Schizosaccharomyces pombe: one gene and its partner. The gene in region 1 interacts genetically with each later gene. Each region holds a gene or a part of one and is shown on either strand. Other genes may lie near its edges. The genes, in order: psu1 and orb6.

Evidence for each region.
Region 2: of psu1 (region 1) and orb6, extra expression of one rescues a mutant of the other (dosage rescue), as found in Schizosaccharomyces pombe (one study listed by BioGRID).

The regions. Positions count from the first base shown.
Region 1 is NC_003424.3:1,820,620-1,825,033, reverse strand, and holds psu1 (beta-glucosidase Psu1), read left to right. Parts: upstream 1-1,603; 5' UTR 1,604-1,844; coding exon 1,845-3,098; 3' UTR 3,099-3,633; downstream 3,634-4,414. Other genes in the region: itt1 (ubiquitin-protein ligase E3), read right to left, coding at 1-249; SPOM_SPAC1002.20 (uncharacterized protein), read right to left, coding at 757-1,062. UniProt on the Schizosaccharomyces pombe protein: Involved in cell wall synthesis. May be required for the activation of 1,3-beta-glucan synthase.
Region 2 is NC_003424.3:1,006,090-1,010,963, forward strand, and holds orb6 (serine/threonine protein kinase Orb6), read left to right. Parts: upstream 1-2,173; 5' UTR 2,174-2,349; coding exon 2,350-2,492; intron 2,493-2,759; coding exon 2,760-2,934; intron 2,935-2,979; coding exon 2,980-4,071; 3' UTR 4,072-4,229; downstream 4,230-4,874. Other genes in the region: gamma-glutamyl phosphate reductase Pro1, read left to right, coding at 305-1,660; dnf1 (P-type ATPase), read right to left, coding at 4,551-4,874. UniProt on the Schizosaccharomyces pombe protein: Interacts with pak1/shk1 and coordinates cell morphogenesis with the cell cycle. It is essential for maintenance of cell polarity and is involved in mitotic control.

The DNA of each region.
Region 1 (4,414 bases):
AGGATATGCTTCAGGAAGAAAGAATTCCATGACTAAATCCGGGAAATGCCTCACTACGATTGTATCTGTGAGCGTAGATTCATCGGGAGACTTAAAGGAAAGGAAATAGTCGCTCTCTGTATTAACTGGTATGTTAAGCCGACCATAGTTATTACCATCCAAGTGTATTTCGGGATAGATTGATTGTAAAGCAATTAGTTCATCTGCAACTAAATGTTTGTTATCTGATTCCACCTCCACCTCCAACATACTCAATAAAATGCCCGAGTTTACCAATAAATCACAAAGAATTTGGAGCAACCTTGATGAAACAGTCAACTAAGAAGACCAAGATTTCAAGGCAACAGAAAAGTGAACAATTCAAAGAATGTGTTTTGATTCCAGAATAATGAAAAGACGATTTCTGCTGGCCACCTCAGCAATTAAGAAATCGCCATTTGGTAAAATTTCCGGTATGAATTTACATTAGTAAGGCAATAAGAATATGCTGTCTCTCTTTTTACCATGTAAGAATAACGTGTCGTTAACCAAATGGACTGTAAGTATGCTAAACGTCACTGTGTAAAATAATGCAGTTTTCTATAGCTCCTTTCAAACTAAGCAAAGGAAAAAGACGTTAATCTACTCGTGTGCAAAGTTTTCCATGCAGGGTACCGAAAATTCTTGACTTGCAACAATTCAGAATATACTTATATATCAATTTCGTCAAGTTAAAGTATTGCTCATATCTGAATATGTAATAGACCATCAGTTGGTCTAGAAGAAAAGGAATTCTTCTCCAACCATGGTATATGGTCCAAAACAATAAATATTAATGAAACTATAGTTAAGAAATGAAGGGCATAGTATTTTCAGCTTCCTGAATATGAAACGATTTGTTTTGTTTATGGTTTGATCTACCTTAAGCAGCGCGTCATCATTCCGATCCGTTAAATGTTTAAAGTAAATGTAGTCTGATGTTGAAAACGCAAGATTGTGTACTACGGTATCGTGGTATGATGGATAAAAATAGAAATTGATTAGCCGATGAAAACCATCCCGTAAGCTTCTTTGGAACGTCATTTTACGATACGTAAAAACGAGATCGATAACTAAGCTTTACGACGTCAAGAAGATGGCCATATTAAACGAGGTTTTAAAAGTAAAGTTGGGGTGTACGCTAATTAAATTATCGATAAAGAAAACTATGATGTGGTAAATGAAATCATGATTAATTAATTGAGAAAATTAGTAAACAAAGAAACTTTAACCTCTTAAAAACGTAAATCAAGGAGATTTTGAAAAAAACAATATCAAAAGAAGCTCTATTTGCTTCACGTATAAACAGGGTTTATTTTAAACAAAAGAAAACGGTACCACCTCAGCAAACGGTAGAAGCTCTTACAGAGTACTTACTGCACTTGGTATCGTAGTTTAGCGAGCTCTAGCCCATTGCAAAGCCTCACCTTAATAAATTAATTAAATATATTACTCCACCAATCATTTAGTCGTACGTGGAATATAAAGTTGCGGTCTCGATTGTCCAAGTTTCACCGGTTCCGTGACGCGTTGTGACTGCTTCCGCGATAGGTAAAAACAGGCCCTCTCCCTACCAAACCTGCCTGTCGTTTACCAACAACCGTCATTAGAAATCTACAGCTAGCTGTTATAATATATTAATAGTTGGATACCGGCCTGTATTCCTATATACCCAGAGATACATTCAAGCAAACTTTCTTTTCTTGACTTGTCTCATCTACTATCGTTTTAAAGAATTTTTCTTCGTTCGTTCCTTGAATTTTAGACACATATAAACCTTCTCTATCTATCTATCCATATATCTTTTTTGTGTATAATTTAGCAAAATGCGTTTTTTCGAAACTTTAGCACTTGCTCTTCTTACCACTGGCGCTTTGGCCGCCCCTTTCCGCCATCCTCATCACTTGCTTAACAAGCGTGATGTGTCCGTCGTTACCTCTAAGGTTTACGCCTATACCACCGTTACTCTTGAGGCTGCTGCTTCCGCCATTTCTACTAACGGCGCTGCTAAGGAGGCTGCTACTGCTGCTGGAGACGCTGAGACCACCAGCTCGGTTGCTGCCTCTGTCACTCCCGCTGCTTCTAGCTCGGTTGCCGCTTCAGTTACTCCCGTTGCTTCTAGCTCCGTCGCTGCTTCAGTAACTCCCGTCAGCTCTAGCGCTGTAGTTGACTCTGCCACTTCCGCTGCTGCCTCTTCTAGCGTCATTCCCACCTCCTCTAGTGTTGTTGCTAGCTCTAGCGAAGTTGCTTCTTCTACTACTTCCTCTGCTGCTGCTTCTGCTACTTCCACTGGCAGTAGCTCTGGTGGTTTCCAAGACGGTGTTTACGATTGCACTGATTTCCCTTCTGACCAAAGCGGTGTTGTTGCTTTGGATTACCTTGGTTATGGTGGTTACTCCGGTATCCAAATTGGTGATGGTGCTGGTTCCTCTTGCGTTGAGGGTGCCTACTGCTCTTATGCTTGCTCACCCGGTATGTTGAAGACTCAATGGCCTAGTACTCAACCTTCTGACGGTGAAACCCGTGGTGGTTTGCTTTGTAAGGGCGGTAAGCTTTACCGTACTAATACTGCTTACGATAACCTTTGTGAAAACGGTGTTGGCACTGCTTCTGTTCAAAACACACTTGGCCAAGGTGTTGCCATTTGCCAAACCGATTACCCTGGAAGTGAGAACATGGTTATTCCTACCTATGTTGGTGGCGGTGCTACCTCTCCTTTATCTGTCACTGATAACGCTAACTACTTCCAATGGGAAGGCAAGGGTACTTCTGCTCAATACTATGTTAACAAGGCTGGCTATACTGCTGAACAAGGATGTCAATGGGGTACTTCTAGCGGTGACTATGGTAACTGGTCTCCTCTTGTCTTTGGTGCCGGTATGACTGATGGTACTACTTGGTTGTCCATCTCTCAAAACCCCTTGACTTCTCAACTTGCCAATTACAATGTCAAGATTGTCGGCGCTGATGGCGCTTCTGTTAGTGGTACCTGTGTATTTGAGAACGGTGCTTTCCAAAATGGTGGCAGTGGTTGCACTGTTGGCATCACTTCTGGATCCGGTGTCTTCGTTTTTTACTAAGTTCCCTAATGATTGCGATTTGGGACGTAGGGGATTTTTTTAATATCTGCTTGAACGCTACTTTTGTTAATTTGTAATCCGTCCTTACGGTCAAATTTCTTTAAATTGTCCTTATTAGACGATGTTACAGGCTTGTTTATGATCGAATTTTTATAGATTCGAATTTCTGTCTGTCTATTTTGTTCTTTGCATTGACAGTGATTATTTGGAATCCTATTTCGCACAGAGCCGCCGTTCTTTGCTTTGGACATTATGTGATGTGTGTTGTCTTTAAACCTAATTTTTTTTAAACGTATGAATATTGGTCTTGAAGGATTTAACTTGTTTGTTTGAAAAATGCAGTTTGTTTTCACCAGAAGGAGGTGCATTTTTGAAGCAGTTTGGAAACTTTGTATACGTTTTTGTTAAGTCCTTTCTCTCATTTGGGTTGAAACTTTTTTTTCTTTATTTCTCTTTAAGCGCTACTGCTATTTTACCTTCGTTTTTTTAAATGTTATTTATTACGATTTGTTAATAAAAAAAAGAATTGTACAAACTGATAATCTAATCTAACTATATTTGTGAATAAATTAATAATGTGAGTAATTGAGTAAGTGAGTTTTAAGTTTTGATCTTTTTTGTACTTCTAATTTTTTAGTGTAGGATGAGACACCTGTTAAATTAGTTAGCAAAGCTGCGTTGTGTATAAAAGATAAGATGCATTATTATATGGTGGATGTTATATCTTGACAGATAAGTAATGGATCTTCGCCTGGTTGGGAATCAATTCGCGCAACGAGAATATAAACGACGGACCAAAGGGACTAACCATTGCAAAATTCGTAAGTATTTTTAGTCATTTGATAAGTTTTTGTTGTAACTTGAATGAAATTTTTTTTTTTAAAATACTTGAGCATGGTTTGATTGATATGTCATGGAGGTGTACACAGTGACTATCATTTGAAGAGCGAATATGAGAAGTTAAAAATTTATTGAAACAGCGAGATGCTAGAAGGAGCGAACACAAGTGTTTGAGATGTTATGAAAATTATCTAAACGAGGCAAAAGGTTCAGACATTTCTAAACTGATGCTAAAATGATTTTGAATTTATAAAATAGCAGCTAGTTTATTAGAATGCTTGAACATTTGTAAAATCATTTTTTAACAAGGGCTATAAATTTTTCGTGTATATAAAACTTGAAGAATGTAAACAGTGAAAAAAACCAATCAATCGGTTGGTTTTTTGAAATCAATATCTGATCTACTGTATGTAAATAAAGAAAGGACATCGATAAAATCCAACGGAGGAATTCAAGTTCAATAAAAAGAATCCTAC
Region 2 (4,874 bases), 810 kb from region 1:
AATATAACACTAACTGTTCTTGAGGTTGCAAAATATTTTTAGTTAACTGCAGAAGTACTCTCACTTTCCATGATTTCGTATCTTTCAGAAATCTTAGTTATGCTTAATGTAAAGTAACAATGCTTGATTTTGTTACTTGAAGGGTGTTAAATAAATCACGAACTTGCATTATTCATACATTAGAAAAAACAACCAAAATACTACAAAAAGTAGTCTTTTTGAGCTAGCCATTCTAAGAATAAGAATTCGCTTGATTTAAATCTCCCAATTGCCTCTACTCAAAGTTGTATAAGTATTGTTTAGCATGTCTCTTGAAGAGAATGTAAAGGAAGCGAAAAACGCTTTTAACATTTTACAGACATTATCAGTGGAAGACCGTGATGATGCATTGGATAAAATAGTTGAAGAACTGCGCATAAAAAAGTCAGAGGTTCTAGCTGCAAATGCTGAAGATATGAAAGCAGCTAAGCTCTTGGCTGAATCAGGAAAACTAAGTTCATCGATGGTTAAAAGATTGGATCTGTCTTCATCTGATAAATACGATTCCATGGTACAGGGTGTTTTAGATGTTAAAAGTTTGCCTGATCCCCTTGGTCGTGTTACTTATGCTCGTAGTCTTGACGATGGTTTGGACCTTTATAAAGTCTCTTGCCCTGTAGGTTTATTGCTAGTCATTTTTGAAGCTAGACCTGAAGTAATCATTAATATTACTTCCCTGGCTATCAAATCTGGTAATGCTGTTGTACTTAAAGGAGGCACGGAATCAGCAAAGTCTTTCGCTGCACTTTCTAATGTTGTTCGCTCTGCCTTGGGCAAAAGTAAGGTTCCACAGGCTGCTGTGCAGCTTGTTCAGAGTCGCGAGGAGGTATCACAATTATTAAAATTGGATGAGTACATAGATTTGGTTATTCCCCGCGGCAGCACTAATCTTGTACGCCATATAAAAGATAACACAAAAATTCCTGTTTTAGGTCATGCTGCAGGACTATGCTCCATGTACGTCCATGAGGATGCTGATATGGAATTGGCTAGTAAACTTGTTCTGGATGGAAAAACTGATTATCCAGCAGCATGTAATGCAATTGAAACTTTGTTAATTAACGAAGCTGTTTTATCTTCTCATCTTCCTAAAATTGCTGAAACTTTAACTGAAGCAAAAGTTACATTAAAATGTGATCCCGCTTCTCTTAAGGTTTTAAAGGATATGCCAAAAGTTAGTGCTCTAGTTGAACCATCTGTCGATCAAGATTACAACACTGAATTCTCTGATTTGATTCTTGCTATTAAGACTGTACCTTCCTTACAGTCCGCAATGCAGCATATAAATACACATGGTTCTAAACACACGGATTGCATTATCACTTCTAGTGAAGCAGCTGCTAACAGATTCATGGCTGGAATTGATGCTTCTGGTGTGTATTGGAATGCTTCAACCAGATTTGCCGATGGTTTTCGTTATGGTTACGGTACCGAAGTTGGCATCAGCACCAACAAAATTCATGCTCGAGGACCAATGGGTCTTGATGGGTTAACTATTTACAAGTACCAACTTAGAGGAAATGGTCAAGTTGCAAGTAGTTATGGAGTTGGACCTGGCAAACGCGCATTTAAACATACCCCTATTAATATAGACAATATTTCTCAGGTTTCGAAAAAATAAACACAAAAAAGATTTGAAAATTATGTGAAATTGTCAACGTTTTGGCTAGCTGCATTTTGGATACAAATCGGTTAGGCTTTTTTTGTTTACTTGTTTGTCTATAATATTTAAATGGGAGTTTCAATAATGTGAAGTTATTAAATGAAGAGTAAACACCAAATTAAATAGATAACTATTCCTGTAGAGTTCGATCCACCACCTTTAGTTTTTATTACACAAATATTTTTATGGTGAAGAACGAATTGATGTCTCCGTCCGTCTTTTTTGACTATTCATTTCAATTCAGATTCTAAAATCTTCGTAAGCTAAGATTCTTGGCTTCAGTTAGTAGCGTCGTAATATTGAACAGGGAGGGTTAGGAAATGCGCGGAGCTTATCGCAAGCGATCGTTGAAGTTATATAACAAACTGCAGAAGTACTTGCTTTTCCAGTATCGCAGTTTAACATATTTTTATCGGATTATACCTTAGCTGGCAGTAGTCCTATAATTAAAAAAGCATAATAGGACTTGTCATTTACCATATCCGATTTATCACTGTCTCATTTCTGTTTTGCATGTCTTGTTAATTCATGTTTTAAGCGATTGAATTTCAATCTTTTAACAATTTCTTTTTGTTAATTAATTCGTTGACCTTGTAGTTGATTCTAATTAGTGTAAAAATTCCATTTATTGCAACATTTCTTTCAATATGGATAAGAATGATTACTTACACTTTGAACGGAACCCTTCATTATTTCCGAAATCAACTTTAGACAAAGTCCAAAAGACAAAGAAATATATTGAACATTATTACAAGGTGGCAGTTGATCATGCTGTAGAGCGCAACCAAAGGTACGAGTAGCATTACTATTCAGGGTTCTAGCATTGTTTCACATTCCTCAATTAGTATTCCCATCTTATACGTTGATCGGATAAGTATCAAAGACGATGCTTTTATTAATTCTTTCTCCGTTCTCAACTTCGCGTGTTGCAGTAAATGCATAATCTCGAATGTTTATAAAATCTTAGACAGCTTACTCATCTTGTTTCGAAAATGTTAATTAATAATGCTAGCTTCCGTTTAATTTACTTTTAGGTATAAATACTAATTCTCTTTAGACGTATCAATTTGGAGCAACGATTAGCAACCGAAAGGGGTTCTGAGGAGAGAAAGAATAGGCAGTTAAGAGCATCTGGTGAAAAAGAGTCTCAATTTCTTCGATTTCGTCGTACACGGCTTTCTTTAGAAGATTTTTCTACCATCAAAGTTATTGGGAAAGGTGCATTTGGCGAGGTACGTTTGCATAATTGTTTATGTTTTTGGTATCTAATTAAATAGGTTCGGTTGGTTCAGAAACTCGATACGGGTAAAATCTATGCCATGAAATCTTTGCTTAAAACTGAAATGTTCAAACGTGACCAGCTGGCTCATGTCAAAGCAGAACGCGACTTATTAGTTGAATCTGACTCCCCATGGGTGGTGTCATTGTATTATGCTTTTCAAGATTCACTGTATCTTTACTTGATTATGGAGTTTTTACCAGGCGGTGATTTGATGACCATGCTAATAAATTATGATACTTTTTCAGAAGACGTTACTCGCTTCTACATGGCTGAGTGCGTTTTGGCTATAGCTGATGTTCATCGAATGGGTTATATTCATCGGGATATAAAACCGGATAACATACTGATTGACCGGGATGGCCATATAAAACTTTCTGATTTCGGACTTTCCACTGGTTTTTACAAGCAAGATCAGAGTGCCTCTTACATGAAACCTCGCACAGGAAATACTGTCAAACGTGGTCAAATGGTAGATGCTATCTGGCTTACAATGTCTTCCAAGGACAAAATGGCTACTTGGAAAAAGAACCGTAGGGTGATGGCCTATAGCACTGTGGGTACTCCTGATTATATCGCTCCAGAAATTTTCTTGCAACAAGGGTATGGTCAAGATTGTGATTGGTGGAGTTTAGGCGCTATCATGTTCGAGTGCTTAATTGGATGGCCTCCCTTTTGCAGTGAAAACTCTCATGAAACTTATCGAAAAATCATCAATTGGCGTGAGACTCTGACTTTCCCAAATGATATACATTTAAGCATAGAAGCTCGTGATTTGATGGACCGACTTATGACAGATTCAGAACACAGATTAGGTCGTGGCGGTGCTATTGAAATAATGCAACATCCTTTCTTTACTGGAATCGATTGGGATCATATACGAGAAACTGCAGCTCCATTTATTCCGAATTTGAAATCTATTACCGATACACATTATTTCCCTGTTGATGAGCTTGAACAAGTTCCTGAACAACCTGTCACACAACAACCTGCTTCTGTTGACCCTCAGACGTTGGAACAAACCAATCTGGCATTCCTTGGGTACACTTACAAAAAATTCAATTATTTAACGATGAAAGGAGCATTGTAAGACTTCTGCAAGAAACTCCATAGCTACTTTGTTCATTGTCCTTTGAGCATCTAACTATTGTTATCGAATTTTTTTTATCGTTAATTCATGTTTACCTTCTTTTACATTATTTTAGCATAACTAATAATATTACCAATTACTTTTTTTTAATGTTGTCCCTACTGATAAAATCTTACATGCACTTCTGTAAATATTAAATTCGTTGCATAAGAATTCCAAATTAATGCATAGATTTTATTAGGGAAAAGATAAAAAAGAGTGAGTAAAAAACATGTATTAATAAGTACAACAGGATGTTAACGCCAAGAAAACCAACCAAAATAGTAAACAATAATTATGAAATGCGGATCATGACCCATAACTAATAGACAATTTCTAATTGAACAGTGGGAACCCCAGAATTTTAACATTTTACCAGTAAACTGACTATCGTCTAAAGAAAGTTTCATATACTAGAATTGGATTAATGAATTAAATGCCTAATCTCGGCTTTTTAAATATTGTTCAATTTCATCGACAGATGGTGCATTGGCTTGTAAAAACTCACCGCTCTCTTGCTCAAACCGAGAGCGGACAAAGGCATCGTTTTCCATTTCCACAAATATGTCGGTGTCCGTAGGACGTAAAGTCCTTCGTAACATTTGGGCAACAATATCAATTGTTAAAGCACAAACCATTACAAAAAGCATAGTAAGCCACCATGAAGGATTTTTGCCAAAATGATGGAGAAACTGTGATCTAGCAAGATATAAATTCTTGTCCGGATAATGCTCGCTTATAAAGATATTAAATAAAAACCAAGC